Linked DNA regions of Caenorhabditis elegans. The protein of the gene in region 1 interacts with the protein of each later gene in a pairwise test. Each region holds a gene or a part of one and is shown on either strand. Other genes may lie near its edges.

Region 1 (6,885 bases):
TGCGTCTCTTCTTTCACACTCTATTTTGGCTGTGGACGAGGAATTCTCCTCTTCCAGGATTTTCTAGGCCATTTTCTCACATTTCTCAAGTTTTCTCGTCCGCGAGAAAACGTGAATTTTGAGACAGCCAGCGAGCACGTGCTTACACTGAACAAGAACAGCGGAACCAGCAGCACACTAAAATACAGCAACCCAATGATTTGAAACCCAACTGACATAAAAGCGAGAAGAATTGACACAAAGTAAATAAAATGAATGAAATCCGAAACAGTCACATTTTAAAATATATTTTTTCATCATTCCAGAAATTCTTCAAAGAAAAAAAGTTGAGAAAACAGTGGATGAGGATCATGAAGATGAAGTATGCGGTCTGAAAAATGGAAAGTCTGAAATTCAGAAAAAAACCACAAAAAAAAAATAAAAAATTGCGATTTTTGTTTGAATTCCCTCCAAAATTAGAGCTGCCATCTGATTGGTTCAAAAATGGGCGGAGCGAATCGCTGATTGGTCTATCACGCCAAAATTGAAAAATCACGGGGATTTTTCACGCTTTTCTTTTGTGGTATTTCTGATTTTGAGTTTACTTTGCATTTTTTGAAGCAAAAATCATCAAAAATTTATTAGATACTGTGGAAATATGTTTTACTTGTTGCTTGAATGAATTTTTAGCCAAATTCGGTGCATTCAATAAGATAGCCCAACATTGGAGCTCAGAACAAAGAAACTTCCTGTCTTAAAATGAATGAATCTATTGTTACGCAAAAGAGTATTTTAATTGTTTTCCAAAACTGAAAACTGTTGCTTTTTTTGTTTTTAAAGTTTATCTTCAGTTCTGAGTCTTAGCAGAAAATAATTGATTTTTCAAAATTTCGGCGAAACTTCGAAAGAAAGTGGAAAAAATACCAGAATTAAATAAAGTCGTTTTATTTTCGTTTTTCGAACATTTTCGAAAACGAAAACGAAAAAATTCGTTTTCGTCAAAACCCCGAAAACAACGAAAAAACGAAAACGCGAAAACGAAAAAGTCCCAGCCCTGGTCCCAACCAACCGGAATCCACGAACAACAGACATCAATTCCATAGAAAAATGTTTCGAATCGTCCCCGTCTTCCTGTAATTACAGGTTCACCATCAGTGCAGTCTCCACGTCGTGATCATCTTCTTCGCTCATAATTAATAAAGGTATAGGATGTAACTGCCACTCACGCACACTGATCGATCTTATAAGGGTTTATTAAGTAAAAGGGAACAGACGAATTGCATCGTCGAAACAGAGTAAACGAGAGAAAAGGGAAAACGACAAGTAACGGGTTAAAGAGTTAATAAATGATCACAAATGAGCGTCGTCCTCTCCTTATATAGGCATTCCGGGTTAAAGGCGCAGCCTTTAACGACGACGGGTCTCGGCGCGACAAGGCGACCTTCTGTAGCTTGGCGGCGGTTTGAACTGGAGTTTCTCCTCCTCGCGGATTGCCTTCGCTGTAGAAATCGTTGTCCTCGACCGATTTCGTCCGTTCTTTCTGTAAATTATCAGAGAGAATTTAAAGGCAAATAAATTAGTATTTATTTATGTAAAATGTGAAGTGAAAAGGGTGGGAATCCTTACAAATTGCAATATTTTTGTTTTATAATCTGCAGAATTTCAATGAAAAAATCACATTTTCAGTCGAAATTCAAAAGTTCTTACCGATAATAAATTGCTGTTTTCGTTCGAAATGAATAGAAATCGAGAAATGATTAATTTTTTCTCTAATCTAAAGAAAATCAATAATTTAAATTTTTTTAAATTCAGTTTCCCGTGTCGCCCTGTTTTCTGGAAAAAGATTAGAAAATCCAATTTCTTGTTCTGTCTTTCGCCGAAGAAACACGCGTTTTCCCTGGGGAAATCATCAAATGGTTCGTTTTTTTAAAAAGATTTTTGAGCAAAAAGGTCTCACCGCGACAAGTTCTTGTGAAATAAAAACGGGTATGCGCCTTTAAGGAGTACTGTGGATTTTTAGAGTTTTTTCGATGAAATAACGATTTATTTTTTATCAATTTCATTGTAAAGTCAATGAATTTATTAGAAAGCTTTCGAAAGAAAAAACCTAGGCCTCTAAACTTCTGCTAGGTTACTGTAGATTTTTCAAGAGAATAAGAGAACCGGCTCAGATTTTTGTTGCAAACTCTGCCGATTGTTAGTTGTTTGATTTTTATCGATTTTCCGCCAAATATCTCTCAGCTCTTATCACTGAAAGTGATTGAAACACATGAAAAGTGACACAAAGTGTCGTCAATACACCACATTTGACGACATTTTGCGGACTTTTTTCTGTGGCTGGTGATTTTTCCACAGGTTTTTTGCATTTTTTTGCATTTTTTTTGTGGCAAATTCAATAGACTATTTGCCACGTTTTATTGTATCTTTTTTGTTGAAAAAATTCAAAAAAATATTTTTAATTCAAAAATTTTAATTCCTTATTCCCTTCAGATGCACAGAGCACTTCTCAACGCCTCGAGACGGGTGGCAACCGTCAGAAGCATGGCTTCTACCGTTGAAGGAGACGCTTTCCGGCTCAGCGAGTACAGCTCAAAGTATTTGGGCCATAGAAAAGTAATTTATTCTTAATTTATTATTTTTCTATTTTTTCCCCATTTAAAATACTAAACTTCACTTTTTTCAGGCCGCTTTCACTGAAAAACTAGAAATCGTGAACGCCGACGACACGCCAGCACTGCCAATCTACAGAGTCACCAACGCCGTCGGTGACGTCATCGACAAGTCGCAGGACCCAAATTTCGACGAGCAAACTTCGCTGAAAATGTACAAAACGATGACACAGCTGAATATTATGGATCGGATCCTGTATGATTCGCAGCGTCAAGGACGCATCTCGTTTTATATGACAAGCTTCGGAGAAGAAGGAAATCATGTCGGAAGTGCCGCCGCTCTCGAGCCACAGGATCTGATTTATGGACAATATCGTGAAGCCGGGGTCCTGCTGTGGAGAGGATATACTATGGAGAATTTCATGAATCAGTGCTATGGAAATGCGGATGACTTGGGAAAAGGTCCGAGAAAAACCTTGATTTTGCTTTTAAAAAATCGATATTTCTGGAGAAAGTCAACCTATTTTTCCGTTTTTTTTTCAATTTTTCTTCACTTCGATTCCCGAATTTTGCAAAAAAAAACTGTGCCGCACAGAAAAAGAGGTGGGGCGTAATTTTGCAACGACGTGGCACGGTTTTTCCTCTTTTTTGTTGATTTTTCCTTTTTTCTCCGAAAATTTACAATATTTCTTGAAAATATTATTCAATTTACTACTCATAAGATTGTGCGAATTAGGTAACATTTTTACTTAAAAAAAGAAAATAAGAAAAATTGTGAATTTTTGGAAAAAATCATTGAAAAAGGAGGAAAAACCGTGCCGCAGGGTTGCAAAATTACGCTCCGCATCTTTTTCTGTGCGGCGGCGCTTTTTTTTGCAAAAAAAAAATCACGAATCGATTTATCTAAAAAATTTTGAAAAAAATCATCAAAAAAAGAGGAAAACCGTGCCGCAGGGTTGAAAAATTACGCTCCACCCCTTTTTCTGTGCCGCGCTATTTTTTTTCAAAAAAAAATCACGAATCGATTTCTCAAAAAAATTTTGAAAAAAACCATTGAAAAAGGAGGAAAAACCGTGCCGCAGGGTTGCAAAATTACGCCACGCCTCTTTTTTTGTGCGGCGGCGCTTTTTTTGCAAAAAAATCACGAATCGATTTATCCAAAAAATTTGAAAAAAAATCATCAAAAAGCCAGGAAAAATCGAGACCCGAAGAACTCGGGGGATGTCCAATTGGGGGGATTACCAACTCGGGGGATTGGCCCCGCCCACAGAACCGTGGCTTGCAATACACCCATTTCTGCAACTGCCGCACGGTTTTAAAACTGTATTTTTATTAATAGAGCGAGAAATAACAAGAAAAAATATTTTTAAAACCGTGCGGCAGTTGCAGAAATGGGCGTATTGCAAGCCACGGTTCTGTGGGCGGGGCCAATCCCCCGAGTTGGTAATCCCCCCAATTGGACATCCCCCGAGTTCTTCGGGTCTCGAAAAATCGTGCCGCAGGGTTGCAAAATTACGCCCCGCCTCTTTTTCTGTGCGGCGTCGTTTTTTTTTGTCTTTTTTACAAAAAAAATCACGAAAAAATTTAAAAAAAAAGGAAAAATCTGATGAAAAACTCGAAGAAAAATCGATTTTTAAGGAAAAATTGAGTGGAATTTTTTAAAAATCCGAAAAAAAAATTTGAAAATTTTTGAACAAAAGCTCCAGCAGCCGCTGGTCTTCGAATTCCAAGATTTTTTCAAAAACCAAAAATTCCATTTTCAGGCCGCCAAATGCCAATGCATTTCGGAACAAAAGAGCGAAACTTTGTCACAATCTCATCTCCACTGACCACTCAACTTCCACAAGCCGTCGGCTCAGCGTACGCTTTCAAGCAACAAAAGGATAATAATCGCATCGCAGTCGTCTATTTCGGAGATGGAGCCGCTTCTGAAGGAGATGCTCACGCAGCGTTCAACTTCGCCGCCACTCTCAAATGCCCGATTATTTTCTTCTGTAGAAACAACGGATACGCCATTTCTACGCCGACTAGTGAACAGTATGGAGGAGATGGAATTGCTGGAAAGGGACCGGCTTATGGTCTTCATACTATTAGGTAGAGAGAACTGGATTCGTTGAAAAGCAGTGCCACCGCACGGAAAAAGAGGCGGAGCGCAAGAATTTGCAGTTTTTGGCTTGATTTTGCTTGATTTTGAATCATTTTTTGACAAAAAAAATTGTAATTTCTGAAATTTTACAATTTTCTCTTGTTTTTCCCTTTTTTTCCTCCATTTTTTCGCGATTTTCTCGTGAAATTGGCAAAAATTCGAAAATATAAAAAAAATATACGAAAATTAAAGAAAAAACCCACAATTAATCGGTAAAAAATCACCAAAATAAGAATTTCAGCCTAAAAAAGTGCGCCGCAGGTTTGCGAAAACGAGGCTCCGCTCCTTTTTCTGTGCGATCACAGAATTCTGAAAATGCGTATTGCACAACATATGTTATCACGTCAAATATGTTGTGAAATACGCATTTTCAGAACTCTGTGGTCGCACAGAAAAAGAGGCGGAGCTTAGGTTTTGCAAACCTGCGGCGTGCCGTTTATTTTACGAGAAAATCGCGGGAAAAAGTGGAACAAAATTACGAAAAAGAAGAGAAAATTGTAGATTTTCAGAAAATTGACTAATTTTGCCAAAAATTGAAAAAAAAATCGAATCTTAAGGCGCGCCGCAGACTTGCAAAACTACGCCCCGCCCATTTTTCTGTGCGACGCAGCTTTTTTCTTTTGCAAGAAATAAATCACGGATCGATTGTTCAGTATCTGTTTGCATACCTAAATATATTTTTTAAAAATCATCAAAAATAAAGGAAAAACCGTGCCGCAGGGTTGCAAAATTACGCCCCGCCCATTTTTCTGTGCGGCACTTGCGAATATTCTATCTATATAATCTAATATTATCTTCTAAAAAGAGGAAAAATGAGCTATTTTTGAAATATAAAATTGGAAATTTAAAAAATAACAAAAAATTTCAAAATTTTTTCCAGAGTCGATGGAAACGACCTTCTCGCCGTCTACAACGCGACAAAAGAAGCCCGCCGAGTCGCCCTCACCAACCGCCCAGTGCTCATCGAGGCCATGACCTACCGCCTCGGCCATCATTCAACATCCGACGACTCGACCGCCTACCGATCTTCCGATGAAGTTCAAACATGGGGAGACAAGGATCATCCGATCACTCGCTTCAAGAAGTACATCACGGAACGTGGATGGTGGAATGAGGAGAAGGAGATGGAATGGCAGAAAGAGGTGAAGAAGCGTGTGCTCACCGAGTTCGCCGCAGCTGAGAAGCGGAAGAAGGCGCATTATCATGATTTGTTCGAGGATGTTTATGATGAGCTTCCACTCAGACTTCGCCGTCAGAGAGATGAGCTGGATGCTCATGTTGCGGAGTACAAGGAGCATTATCCGATGTTGGAGACTCTTCAATCGAAGCCTTAAATTCATTTTTTGTGATGCTTTTTTTTTCTATGAAAATATTACTAGAATACGTTTTTTTTTTGTAGATTTTCCTGTGCCATTCCGATGTGTTTTATCAAATAGATTTTGCTTTTATTTATGAACCCTCATGTTTTGTTTCTAGGTGCCTTTTCCCGTGTTCCCCGCATATTTCTTTTGTCAGCCCCTTCCCACCTTTCAATATGGAGAGGATACCCCACACTGTTTTATCGATTTTTGTGTCCTGAATAGGGCGTATAACAAATAAAATAGACCGAATGCTCGAAAAATTTTAATTTTTGCAATTTATTGCCACTGAACAACCAATTGTTCGTATCAATACGACAGCACAAATTTCTTCTTTTTTTTATCAATTTTCTTTATCTTTTTTTTGTATTTTTCTCTAATTCTCTCACGATTTCTCTATATCTTTTCTTTGCAATCTTCTCTTGTCGGTTTTGACCGAAAATTTTTAATGTTCTATGTTCTTTTTTTTTTCAAACGAAAATTTTAGGATTTTGGTCTCGACACGACAATTTTAGTTTTGTGCAAACAGGTGTGCGCCTTTAAAGAGTACTGTAGTTTCAAACTTGTGTATTTGCGGAATTTTCATTAATTTTTCGTAGTTTTTTGGATAAAAATCGATTAAATTATCAAATATCAAAAGAAAATTTCAATGAAACCCGGAGAAAACTGAAAAAGTTAAATTTAAAAATTAAAAAAAATACAATTTTTACATTGCAAAAAGGCATGCGCCTTTAAAGAGTACTGTAGTTTCAAACTTGTGTTCTTGCGGATTTTTCATTAATTTTTTATCGTT
Region 2 (7,280 bases), on another chromosome or scaffold:
ATTTTCTCAACGGCCATCCTCATCGCCTTCTCCAGCTCCTCCTGCCGTTGCCGCTCGGACCTCGCCAAGTCATCATGAACTTTTCGCAGATAGGACAGGTTGCGGAAGTTCAGCACGTAGACCTGGAAGCTTAGGCTTCACAGGGCAGCTCGGTATCCGGTGTCTTACCTCATAAAGTTTCTTCAGTCGCTCCTCAAACCGCTCGTACTCGTCCATATACTGAGGTCGGAAGGACTGTAGCTTTGCGAATCTTTTTTGCAACTGCTCGTACTCTCGCTTCTTTCGCTCTATCTTCTCGTCGAGCTCTGCCTCATCGCTGGCCACGTTGTTCAGCTTGTTCTGAAAATTTGAGAGGTTAGCTGGGGAGCCTGCACCTAACCTAATTGTAAGTGACTCAGACCCTCCGGGCTTTAAGAACAATCACGTGGGTTCGAGTGGAGTGGGTGTTGCTTCAAGCCAGTTAGGCTAATTCAGTCTATTCCTTCAGCTCCAAGATCCTCAGCGGACTCCTCGAGGCTAGGGGTCTCTGAGCTTCTGGAGAAGATGCACAGGCCCGGTCTAGTGGCTTGAAGCCCTGCATATACCACTAGAGTTCAGGTAATGAAGCTTCAAAGTCTGAATCAAAGTTCAAGTCACTCTTTGACCAAGCCCACGCCATTAGAAGAAGTCCAAGCTTTTTACTGTCCGCTTCACAATCAGGATCGAGCCAGGCCAATCTCTCAAACTCTAAGACGCCAGAGCTCAAACCTACGCCACCAGGAGCTCCGTGACCCGTCAAGCTTACCGATAGCTGCTCAGTCTCCTGAGCGATGTTCTGCACTGTTGCCTGCAGCACCTTCTCGGCCTCAGCAAGTGGTACCGCCCGTGACGCGGCTCTCTCGTGTTGCTGAGATATGAACTCCTGCCGGGACAGCAGCTCACTGAGCAGGGCACCTGTTTCCGGGAGTTGTGATGATAGCTGACGAGTGATTCGGACCTCCTGCATCTGAACTTTCGACAGTTTTTTCAGGCTTTTTCAGGCTGGTGGCCTGTGAGACCCACCTTCGACGAGAGCTTATTCTTGACTTGGGTCCATTTTGGCGAGTTATCAGTGTTCGGGTCCTCTGCCTTGGCCTGGTAGAGGATCTTCATGGCCGGTAGGAGTTCCTGCACCGCATGACCATCAGCCTGGTACAACTTTTTTGGATTCATCTTGATTCTCGAATTTTGGAGCATCAGGAGTACCGCGTTCTTGATGAAAGCGACCCGATCAGCTTCTGTTTGGACTTCGTGTGCGTCAAGGTTGGATTCGGGCTCAAATCTGGAATTTTTGGGCTTAGAGTAGGCTTGGAAGTTAGTGGCCAAAGTTTCTATATTTTTCGGCCAACGATTTTTTTCACTGGGAAACTAACTTTTTCACGATCCATTCCAGCAATTCAGCCACCAGCTGAAAATTTGGGGTCCGGAAATTCTCAATTGACATCAAGCGAGGGTATCGGAGGCTTCGCGTCATCTCACACAGGTCTGAAGTTGGCGAAATTTGGGACTAGAATCCGAACTCGGCCATGATTTTGTAAAATTCAATTTTAAGTGTATTTTGGGTCTTTTTTTTGCGTTTTATGGTTTAGAAACATTTCTCACCTAGATTTTAATGCAACACTTATTTTTTCCATATGAAAATCTCAAAGTTCAAATTTAAAATTAAAAAAGCCTTAAAAACTTACTTCTCAGCTCACGATACGACATTTTTCGTGCAGAATTCAATTGAAACTTCTCTTCTCAACAATTGCCTGCCTATTCCCCCATTCAATATTTCCTCCGTTCCCATAGAAACTCCCTGCAAACACCCCAAAGACTACGGTCGACGAGCTTCTGCAGCTCAACCGGCGTTTTGTACGCAAACACCGCGACGCCATATTGCACACATTTTTCGAGAGGAGCGCCGCGCGCATTTTCTCCGAGTTTTGTTTGCTTTTTTGCGCATCTTTCATTGATTTTTTATTAAAATCGGGGGAAATATGGTTTAAATTATCGATTTCCGCCTGTTTTAGTGGTGAAAATGTGAAAAATCGTAGTGAAAAACCCTAGAAACCAGTAAAATTCTATTTGGAAGGGTTTTGGTCTAAATTTTGAGTTTTTAGCATTAAAACAATATGCTCAGCAGAAAAACTAATGAAAATGTGAGAATTTTGAATCAAAATACCTAAATTTTTTAAAAAATCCTAGTTTTTCTCTATTTTTCTCAAAATTTCCGGCAAAAGCCTCAAAATTTCAATTAATTTCCGGTTTTTCAGGTAATCCCCGGTCGAAATGGCTCTGAGAAAGTGTGGAAACCTGTTCGTGGCTCGTCTCGCTGGCACCTCGACCAGAGCGGCTTCCAGTGAGTAGAAATTGCAAAAAATGAATGGAAAAAAAACGAAAAAATCGCTGATTACCGGCTAAAAATGAAGAATTGAACGGAAAAAACGAATTTTAACCTAAAAAAGCATAAAAATCGCCAATTTTTTCAGCAATGACCGTCCGTGACGCCCTAAATCAGGCTATGGACGAGGAAATCAAACGTGACGACCGAGTTTTCCTGATGGGAGAAGAAGTTGCTCAGTACGACGGAGCTTACAAGATTTCCAAGGGATTGTGGAAGAAGCACGGTGATAAGCGAGTCGTCGACACTCCAATTACTGAAATGGGATTCGCTGGTACGGGAAATCACGCTGGAAATCGAGAAAAATCGAGAAATGTTGACTCGGAACGTCAAAATCACTAATAAATCCCCAAAAACAGCACCATTTTTTCGAAAAGAAAGTGTCCAAATTTACTTTAATTTTGGATCTTTTCTCTCAAAAGTTCAGTTTTTACACTAAAAATTGGATTTTTCGAACAAATTTCGGAAATTTTCCTAAAAACAATTAATTTTCGGCATTTTTTATTGAAAATTTCAATATTCACTGCAAAAAGCTCGGAAATTACGGAGTTTTGATATTTTTCGCAGAAAATTCCGGTTTTATCAAAATTTTGTCGAAAATTAAGCTGAAAAATCACATTTTTTATATAAAAATCAGATTTTTCCCAATGTTATTTGCAGAAAAGCTCTAAGACCGCGCAAATTCAATTTTTCAGCAAAAATTGTCTAAAAAGCTCGAATTTTCGCATTTTTCTCGATTTATTCAATTTTTAGCAAAATTTTTTCAGAAAAAACTGAAAATTCCTCCAAAAAAATCACATTTTTTTCAGGAATCGCCGTCGGTGCTGCCTTCGCCGGGCTCCGTCCAATTTGCGAGTTCATGACATTCAATTTTTCCATGCAAGCCATCGATCAGATTATTAATTCAGCCGCAAAAACATATTATATGTCCGCCGGAAGGGTACGGTCTTGGCAATGTGCCACGTTTTCTGGAAATTGCGATTTTCAGCGAAAAAATAGCCGAAAAATTGAAGATTTTCACCAAATTTTTGACTAATTCGTGAGAAATCACGCTTTCTGCTATTTTTAGAACGAAATTCCTCGGTTTACACTGATTTTTCAGGAAAAAGTCAATTTCTGATACAAAAAATGCGATTTTTCTAGATTTTTGACTGAAAATCAGGGTTTTTCTGAAATTTCTACACAAATTTTACCTCAACAGAGCTGATTTTAGCTTTAAAATCCGATTTTTCTCGACTTTTCACTGAAAATTTCATTTTTTCAGCCATTTTCGTTGAATTTATGCTGAAAAATCATGTTTTTCACATGGTCTCACGCCATTTTGATAAGAAAAAATTTGTAAAAATCATCAACTGATAAGAATTCTTATCACTGAACACTTTCTGATCAGTGAATTTTATCAGAAATTGGAAATTTTTTTTCGGAAAATCGGTCCAAAACTGAGAAAATATAGGGAATTTATAACTTTTAAAGTTTTTTTTTCTTGTTTTTTTTTCTGAAAACACCGCTTTTCCAAGAAAAATACCGGAGAAAATGATATTTATAAAATCATTGAAGAAACATTTGAAAACGAAAATTGTAGAGATTTTGTAATATCTGAAGAAAAAAATCGAGAAAATTTATTTTCCAGGTACCCGTCCCAATCGTATTCCGTGGACCAAATGGAGCCGCCGCCGGAGTTGCTGCTCAGCATTCTCAAGACTTTTCAGCTTGGTATGCTCATTGTCCAGGACTGAAGGTTGTCTGTCCGTACAGTGCTGAAGATGCGAAGGGACTCCTGAAAGCTGCGATTCGTGACGATAATCCGGGTACTTGTCGCGAAAATTGGAGATTTTCGATGCAAAATTCAGATTTTCCAGAAAATTTCAGTCAACAACCGTGACAACTGGAAAACTTCTGATATTTTCGAAATTTTAGGATCAAATTAAGCGGTTTCTTGAAATTTTCCGGGTTACTGTAGCTCCAAAAGTACGCAAACACCATATTTTACGAAATTGGGAGCTTTTTGGCTGAAAATTTCAGTTTAGACTGATTAAAAGGTGGCAAATTTGAATTTTTAATTCATTTTTTGAGTTTTTAACGATTTTCTTGTGAAAAATGGTTTTCCGAACACCAATGTTTGCGTGCTTTTGACGCTACAGTAACCCCGAATCAAAAAATCGGCGCTATTTTCATCAAAAATTTGAGAAAAGTCGGTTTTTGTTTAGTTTTTTCATTCAAAAATGTTTTTTTTTTACTTTTTTTCCGGAGATTTACATTGTAAAATCTAAATTTCGAAAAATATTGTGCAAATTTAGCAGTTTTTCAGGAAAAAATCCAAAAAAAATTAAAAATTCTATAGGAAAATATCTGAAAACCAGTTTTTTTTCAGTTTTGGCCGAAAATTCTGCGAAAATTTATAATATTCTCCTAAATTCAATTTTTCGGGAAAAATTCGAATTTTTTGCAGTTGTCTTCCTGGAAAACGAGATTCTCTATGGACAATCGTTCCCAGTCGGCGACGAGGTTCTTTCCGATGATTTCGTGGTTCCAATTGGCAAGGCAAAGATCGAAAGAGCTGGTGATCACGTAACAATTGTCTCGTATTCACGTGGAGTTGAATTTTCACTGGAAGCTGCAAAACAGCTTGAAGCTATCGGAGTTTCAGCAGAAGTTATTAATCTTCGCTCACTTCGTCCATTTGATTTCGAATCGATTCGTCAATCAGTTCATAAGACTCATCATTTGGTGTCTGTTGAGACTGGATGGCCATTTGCTGGAATTGGCTCAGAAATTGCTGCTCAAGTTATGGAGAGCGATGTTTTCGATCAACTTGACGCGCCACTTTTGAGGTCCGTAAGAGAAAATTTGCGAAAAATGGCTTAAAATGCTAAAAATTTGATGAATAACTGCTAAGAATGGCACAAAACTTGAAATTTTATCTTTAAAATGTTCCAAATTTGACATTTTCTGAAAAGTTGAAGGAAATACTCGAAATTATCTGAAAATTTTATAATTTCATTACAAAAACAAAAAGGACCCTAAAATATGAGGAAAACAGCTGAAAATTTGTGATTCTTTCGAATTTTTCTTGTTCTTTTTTAAAGAAAAAGCGAAAAATTCGAAAATAGCTCGAAAATCTTCGAAACATGCGAAAAATCGCATAAAATCCTTTAAAATTTTCCAAAACTCCCGAAAAACACTTCAAATTTTTGTAAAAATGATCCAAACCCGAATAAAAACCTCTAAAATGCGAGAAAATGCTCCAAAATCTCAGGAAAAAACCCCCATAGAGCTCATAAATTTCTCAAAATTGCTCCAAAGTTTTAGCAAATTTTCAAAAATCCTTTAAATTCCCCTAAAAAGCTCCAAAATTGCTGAATAATTCCTCGAAAATCTCTGAAAATTTCACAAAAAAGCTCTCAAATTTTAGAAAGTCTTCACAAATTTCCAAAACCTCTGAAAATTGCTTATAAATTTCTCAAAAATGCTCCAAGGTGCTCCAAACAGCCTAAACATCCCGAAAATGCTCCAAATCTGCTCAAAAGTTGCTCCAAAATCTCTGAAAAATTCTATAAAATCTTCAAAAGCCCTCCGCAATCTCACAATACATTGCTCCAAAATTCGCTTTATAAACTCTATACTTTCTCAAACAAGCTCAAAAAATGTTAGAAATTGCTCTAAATTCTCTGAAAAAGCTCCGAATTCGTTAGAAATTTCTACAAAATTCCCTAATAAGCTCCAAAATCCCCCGAAATGCTCTAAATTTCCTAAAAATCTTAAAAAATTTTCCAGAGTCACCGGAGTCGATGTTCCAATGCCATACACTCAAACTTTGGAGGCTGCCGCCCTTCCAACCGCCGAACACGTCGTGAAAGCTGTCAAAAAGAGCCTGAATATCGCATAATTTTCTGTTTTTTTTCGTTAAAAAATCGATTTTTCTCTAATTCTCATGACCCCCGATGCCTTTTTTCCCCTAATTTTTTTTTCAAAATTTTTGGAATTTTTAAAAATTTTTAGAGCTTTTTTTTTCGAGATTTTCCCCATTTTTAGGTACTTTTCCTGTTTTTATGTTCCCCGTTTAATAGTGATTTTAGTGAGTAAAACGAGTAATAAAAGTCCCCTCAATTTCATGTTTTATGGCTCCGCGATTTCCCCGGAGCAGCAAGGTGCTCCTTCTCCGAAATTCGGGAAAAATGCGCATTTTTCCTTTCCACATTTGTCATGCAAATTCGTCGTGTTTTTTGGGAATTTTTTTGGCGCGCGCGCCTTTTTTAGTTTTATATTTGTTTGTTTTTTAGTTTTTTTCTGGAAAAGTTTTTTTTGAAAACACTAATTTTTCAAAGGATTTTCCAAAAATTTTAATTTTTCTCTATTTTTCGCAAAATTCGAGTTTACCTCACCGAGAGCTTTCAAATGAGTATAATCATGACCTGTTTTGCCTGAAATTGAGTTGGGTCTCACCACGAAAATCCCAGGGTTACTGTATTTTTCGTGGCGAGACCCAACGTTTTTTTTCAAGTTCGAGCAATGTATGCCGTGATTATACTTGTTCGAAAGCTCTCAGTGAGCTGAATTCGAAAACACAAAATTTTTTTGAGAAAGTTTAAATTCACTGGGTCTCCCCACGAAAATCTCAGGATTACTATAAATTTCGTGGCGAGACCCACATTTTTTCAACTCCAAGAAAAGTAGGTCATGATTATACTTAAATCAAAGCTCTCGGCGAGCTTTATTTGAAAATACAGGAACTTTTTTATAAAATTGGAATTTGTTGGGTCCCGCCACGAAAACTTATAATTTTTTTTGGAAATATTTCTAAATAGTTTAATTTTTGGGTATTTTACGTCTAAAATTAGCACATTTTTGTAGTTTCAGCTAAAAATAATTTCCGTAACTA
Region 3 (4,782 bases), on another chromosome or scaffold:
GTTATCGAGGACAAGACGTTCGGATTGAAAAACAAGAAAGGAAATAAAAACCAGAAGTTTGTGGCACAAGTTGAAAATCAAGTCCGTAACAACAATACTCGTATGGATCTTGTCCGACAACAAGAAGCAGCTAAAAAAAAAGAAAAAGACGAGCTTCTCGATATTGCCAATCTTTTGAAACCTGTGGAACAAAAAGTCGCAAAAGGTTGCCACTTTTAGATCGAAAAAAATTAAACTGTTGTGAATTTTTCAGATGTCGATCCAAAATCTCTTCTCTGTGTATTCTTCAAACAAGGTCTTTGCGGAAAAGGAGCAAAGTGCAAATTCAGTCACGATTTGGCAGTTGCTCAGAAGACAGCGAAGAAGAACCTGTATGCAGACAGCAGAGAAGTCGAAAAAGACGGTTTGCACCAAATTAAACGTTTTTTTTTGTAATTTCTAAGCATTCCAGAAGAAACAAACGAGAACTGGGACTCGGACAAATTGAATGAAGTGGTCAATAAGAAAAATAAAAATAAACATATGATTGATATTGTAAGCAGTTTCATGACAGACATTTTTAAGTTTAAAAAATTGAATTTTAAGGTTTGCAAGTACTTCTTGGAAGCTGTAGAGAACAACAAGTACGGTTGGTTTTGGGAATGTCCGAATGGAGGAGAAAAATGTCAATATCGGCATTGTCTACCAGAAGGATATGTTTTGAAAAAGGAACGGAAAGCAATGGAGCAACAAAAAGAAGATGAAATTAGTATTGAGGAACTTGTTGAGAAAGAGGTATACTTATAGGGGAAAATAGTGGCAAAAACATTGTTAAAAGTTATTTCAATTTGAAAGACCACATAAATTAAATTTTATTCCAATTTTTCGTAAGAATTATAGTTTAACATTTCCAGAGAGCCGCTTTGAGTTCGAAAAATCTCACAAAATTAACACTCCAAACCTTCATTGCCTGGAAGAAGAAGAAGTTAAGAGAGCGAAAAGAGAAAGAAGAAGCCGATTTGAAAGAAAAGAAAGAGAAGATCAAATCTGGAAAACATGTAAGAAATTTGAATTTTTATTTAAATTTACTACTTTAATTTCTGTTTCTCGTCTCTTTACATAAATTAATGTTTTCTTTTTTTAGAATGGAATGTCTGGACGTGATCTTTTCTTATATGACGCCAATCTGGTCAACAACGACGACGACGAGGCCGGAGATATTGAGATGGAGAAGGAAGAAGTTGATGTTAGTTTTTGAAATTAATTATTTTAATTTTACAAAAATTTAAATAATTTCAGGAGAATGAAAAGGTATTTGAAATCGATGCCAACTTCTTCAAATTCGACGGAATGGACGATGAACTGACGGATCAAATGAGCAAATCCTCGACTGCTGTTGAATCTACTGCTAAAGGTAATTTTTTTCAGTGCGTAAATAAAAAACAATTTTCGTCAAATTTGAATGGCTAATTTTTCTGTTAAAAAACTATTTTTGACACGTGGCTTTTCTCTGGCTGTCAATATCCTCATTTCATTCTTATCAACACAAAAAAATTCAAACATCATTTTGGCTGTCACTTCAAAATCTGTTATCTTTCGGCAAAAATCAATTGAATTTCTCCCTTTCCCACAGACACACGTTTTGCAAAAAAAAAAACGTTTTCTTTATTGTGTCTGGGTCTCTTGTGGCGAGCCGACACACTATCTCAAAAACTAATTTCAAAAATTGCAGGAATGGCAAAGATGGACATCAACGAGGACTTGTTCGACATTGACGAAGACGTTGAAAACCTCGATTCTGATGAGGATTGAAGAGTATACTTCTGGTGCTCCCCCTTTTTTCCTGTTCTTTTTCTGTTTTTGCTTTGAATTTCAGTGTTTCTTTTTTCCCGATTCCCCTGCTATCTATTATTATTTCTTGTTTGTCACGACTAACCGGTAGTCCCAATTTTCTCTGTATTTGATTATTTTTTTCAAATTACAAGGGACTATTATTTGAAGTTTTCTCCATTTTTTGGTGTCGTTTTGTTATAAATTCATTACAATTCAGATGATTTATTTTAATTTTGAAAAAATATCGGTTTTGCCCGATTCATTTATCTTTTATTTTAATCTTCAAATAATGCGTGAACTTTTGATTGAAAAAATTAATTAACTTGGAAATCCTATAAAAGTTTATTTTAAAATTATTGCGATCTTCAGATGAGTTCCCGAGCCGTAAGCCTCTTCTCAAAATGTGGATCCAGAATCTCCCAAACTCGAGGAAAAGCTCACTTCACGTTTCAACCATCAACCACACTTCCAGCAGGACTTGAAAATCTTGAAAAGACTAAAATGAATTTGATGCAGTCTGTTAATGAAGCGATGAGAATTGCAATGGAAACAGATGATTCTGCTGTTCTTTTTGGTGAAGATGTTGCTTTTGGTGGTGTCTTCAGATGTAGTTTGGATCTTCAAAAGAAGTTCGGAAAAGATCGAGTCTTCAATACTCCACTTTGTGAGCAGGGAATTGCTGGATTCGGAATTGGAGTCGCAGCGGCTGGAGCAACTGCCATTGCTGAGATTCAGTTTGGTGATTACATCTTCCCAGCTTATGATCAGGTAATATCCGGAATAAATATTATGGAAATAAAAAAAATTATTCCAGCTTGTCAACGAGGCAGCCAAGTTCAGATACCGTTCGGGAAATCAATTTGACTGTGGAAAACTGACTGTAAGAACAACATGGGGAGCCGTAGGACATGGAGCTCTATACCATTCACAGAGTCCTGAAGCTAACTTCACCCATACCCCAGGATTAAAGCTTGTTGTTCCACGTGGGCCAGTTCAAGCCAAAGGACTTCTTCTGTCGTGCATTCGTGATCCGAATCCATGTATTTTCTTCGAACCAAAGATTCTTTATCGATTGGCTTCTGAAGATGTTCCAACTGGAGATTACACAATTCCACTGGGACAAGCTGAAACTGTTCGTTCTGGAAAAGATTTGACACTTGTTGCCTGGGGAACACAGGTTCATGTTGCTCTTGAAGCAGCTCAATTGGCCAAGGAGAAGCTCAATGCAGATGTTGAAGTTATTGATCTTCAGACGATTCAACCTTGGGACGAGGATCATGTAGTAGAGGTGAATTATTACAAAATTCTGCGAATGCGTATTGCGCAACATATTTGACGCGCAAAATATCTCGTAACGCAAAGTACAGTAATTCTTTAAGTGACTACTGAAGCGTCGATTTACGGGCTCGATTCTTGAAATTAATTTTTTGCGATTAGTTCGTTTCTCCGTTTGGATTTTAATATTCTATCGATAAATCAATGATCTAGCCCGTAAATCGACACAAGCGCTGCAGAAGTCATTTAAAGAACTACTGTAGTTTTCGCTGCGAGATATTTTGCGTTTTTTGTTTGTGTTCGCGTAATATTTGGATGTTGAGTGATTAAATATGAATTATTTTTCAGAGTGTTCAAAAAACTGGTCGACTCATTGTCACTCATGAAGCTCCGATTTCTTCTGGTTTTGGAGCTGAAATTGCTTCTACTGTTCAGGTAAATAATTTATATTTTACTTTCCTTTTTCAAATAATAAATTAACAATCAAAAATATTACAGAAACGTTGCTTCCTGAACCTTGAATCTCCAATAGATCGTGTTGCTGGATTCGATACACCATTCCCACACGTTCACGAACCATTCTACCTGCCAACTGTTCATCGAGTTTTCGACGCAATCAAGAAGAGTGTTAACTATTAGAATATGTATTTGATATAAGAAATTATACAAGGTAACAACGAAACCGTGTAGAAAAGTAGAATATTTTCTTGTTTTAGCCTAATTTTCTGTTCAAACGGTGCCATCTGCATTTTAAATCACCCATATTTTATTCCGGTCCAAATCGCTAAACCCATCATCATAAATGTGTTGGTTTTTGACATTATATGTCGAACATTCCCTCAATTGCTCGTTTTAGATATTTTCAGTGTGCTATAGTTCTTTTATGTGTTTTATGAATAAATGTATGAATTGATTTTTCTAAAAGTATTTTCATCTTTTTTCTTCGTTGGATTCTCATCTAATATTTGATTTTTGATTTTTCCTGTAAAAACGGGAAATGCGGATTTTCAGATCTCTTCAAAAAGCGGGATGAACCATATAATAGCTGCGGGTCTTCTAATCATTGTCTCAATTGCATCAATTATTCCTGGATTTCCTGTGCTCATCTGGCTTCAGAGTTATTTCCCAGAGCTCCCAGAATATTACACAATTGATAGTATTGCTGTCTATAGTGTTCAGGTTAATATTCTCATTTTCATCAGATACCTGTAATATTACCCGGTTCCAAAATTTTGCAATTTTTGACATACAATACTTTATCTCGAAGCGACCGAAAGATCCCAGTTACCGTACCCACAAGTCTTCCTACCGCATATTTGCATCTTTCTGTTCAATGTTTTTTGCAATCACTGGAAAATTTGGAAAGAAGCTCAAATTGTAAGAAATACTGATATAAGCAACATTAAAAAGCGAGAAACTTGCGGGTACGGTAACCATGAAGTTTTCGGGCCCAAAATTGCATCTTTTCTAAACTAAGTAACTTGTAGACTGCTAATTTTGTTTCAGTTTTTGAATTTAATTTTCAGGCCGGAATTATCTTCATCCTCGGAATCCTGTCAATGTGTCTCTACTCGGACATCGCTTGCCCACTTGCCATCAAGGGATATGCTGCCATTTTTTCCAGAATGTGATTAATTAATTATATATTGCCAAATTTGAATTTTTCTGTGAAAATGTACAAATCGAAATAACAAT

What was found.
Region 2: the proteins of bckd-1A (region 1) and pdhb-1 interact in a two-hybrid assay, tested with the Caenorhabditis elegans proteins (one large-scale study listed by BioGRID).
Region 3: the proteins of bckd-1A (region 1) and bckd-1B interact in a two-hybrid assay, tested with the Caenorhabditis elegans proteins (one large-scale study listed by BioGRID).

Annotation. Positions count from the first base shown.
Region 1 is NC_003281.10:12,967,405-12,974,289, reverse strand, and holds bckd-1A (2-oxoisovalerate dehydrogenase subunit alpha), read left to right. Parts: upstream 1-1,892; coding exon 1,893-1,895; intron 1,896-2,469; coding exon 2,470-2,592; intron 2,593-2,662; coding exon 2,663-3,050; intron 3,051-4,351; coding exon 4,352-4,682; intron 4,683-5,614; coding exon 5,615-6,068; downstream 6,069-6,885. UniProt on the Caenorhabditis elegans protein: The branched-chain alpha-keto dehydrogenase complex catalyzes the overall conversion of alpha-keto acids to acyl-CoA and CO(2).
Region 2 is NC_003282.8:3,397,399-3,404,678, forward strand, and holds pdhb-1 (Pyruvate dehydrogenase E1 component subunit beta, mitochondrial), read left to right. Parts: upstream 1-2,273; 5' UTR 2,274-2,289; coding exon 2,290-2,359; intron 2,360-2,489; coding exon 2,490-2,675; intron 2,676-3,210; coding exon 3,211-3,341; intron 3,342-4,031; coding exon 4,032-4,209; intron 4,210-4,850; coding exon 4,851-5,232; intron 5,233-6,175; coding exon 6,176-6,287; 3' UTR 6,288-6,505; downstream 6,506-7,280. Other genes in the region: dyf-3 (Clusterin-associated protein 1 homolog), read right to left, coding at 1-122, 169-339, 785-985, 1,042-1,300, 1,392-1,503, 1,704-1,725. UniProt on the Caenorhabditis elegans protein: The pyruvate dehydrogenase complex catalyzes the overall conversion of pyruvate to acetyl-CoA and CO(2).
Region 3 is NC_003279.8:7,725,086-7,729,867, forward strand, and holds bckd-1B (2-oxoisovalerate dehydrogenase subunit beta, mitochondrial), read left to right. Parts: upstream 1-2,181; coding exon 2,182-2,580; intron 2,581-2,626; coding exon 2,627-3,100; intron 3,101-3,435; coding exon 3,436-3,522; intron 3,523-3,585; coding exon 3,586-3,726; 3' UTR 3,727-4,007; downstream 4,008-4,782. Other genes in the region: F27D4.4 (Zinc finger CCCH domain-containing protein 15 homolog), read left to right, coding at 1-205, 254-403, 452-534, 586-774, 894-1,037, 1,124-1,225, 1,279-1,393, 1,712-1,791; F27D4.8 (Chromate transporter), read left to right, coding at 4,117-4,266, 4,614-4,718.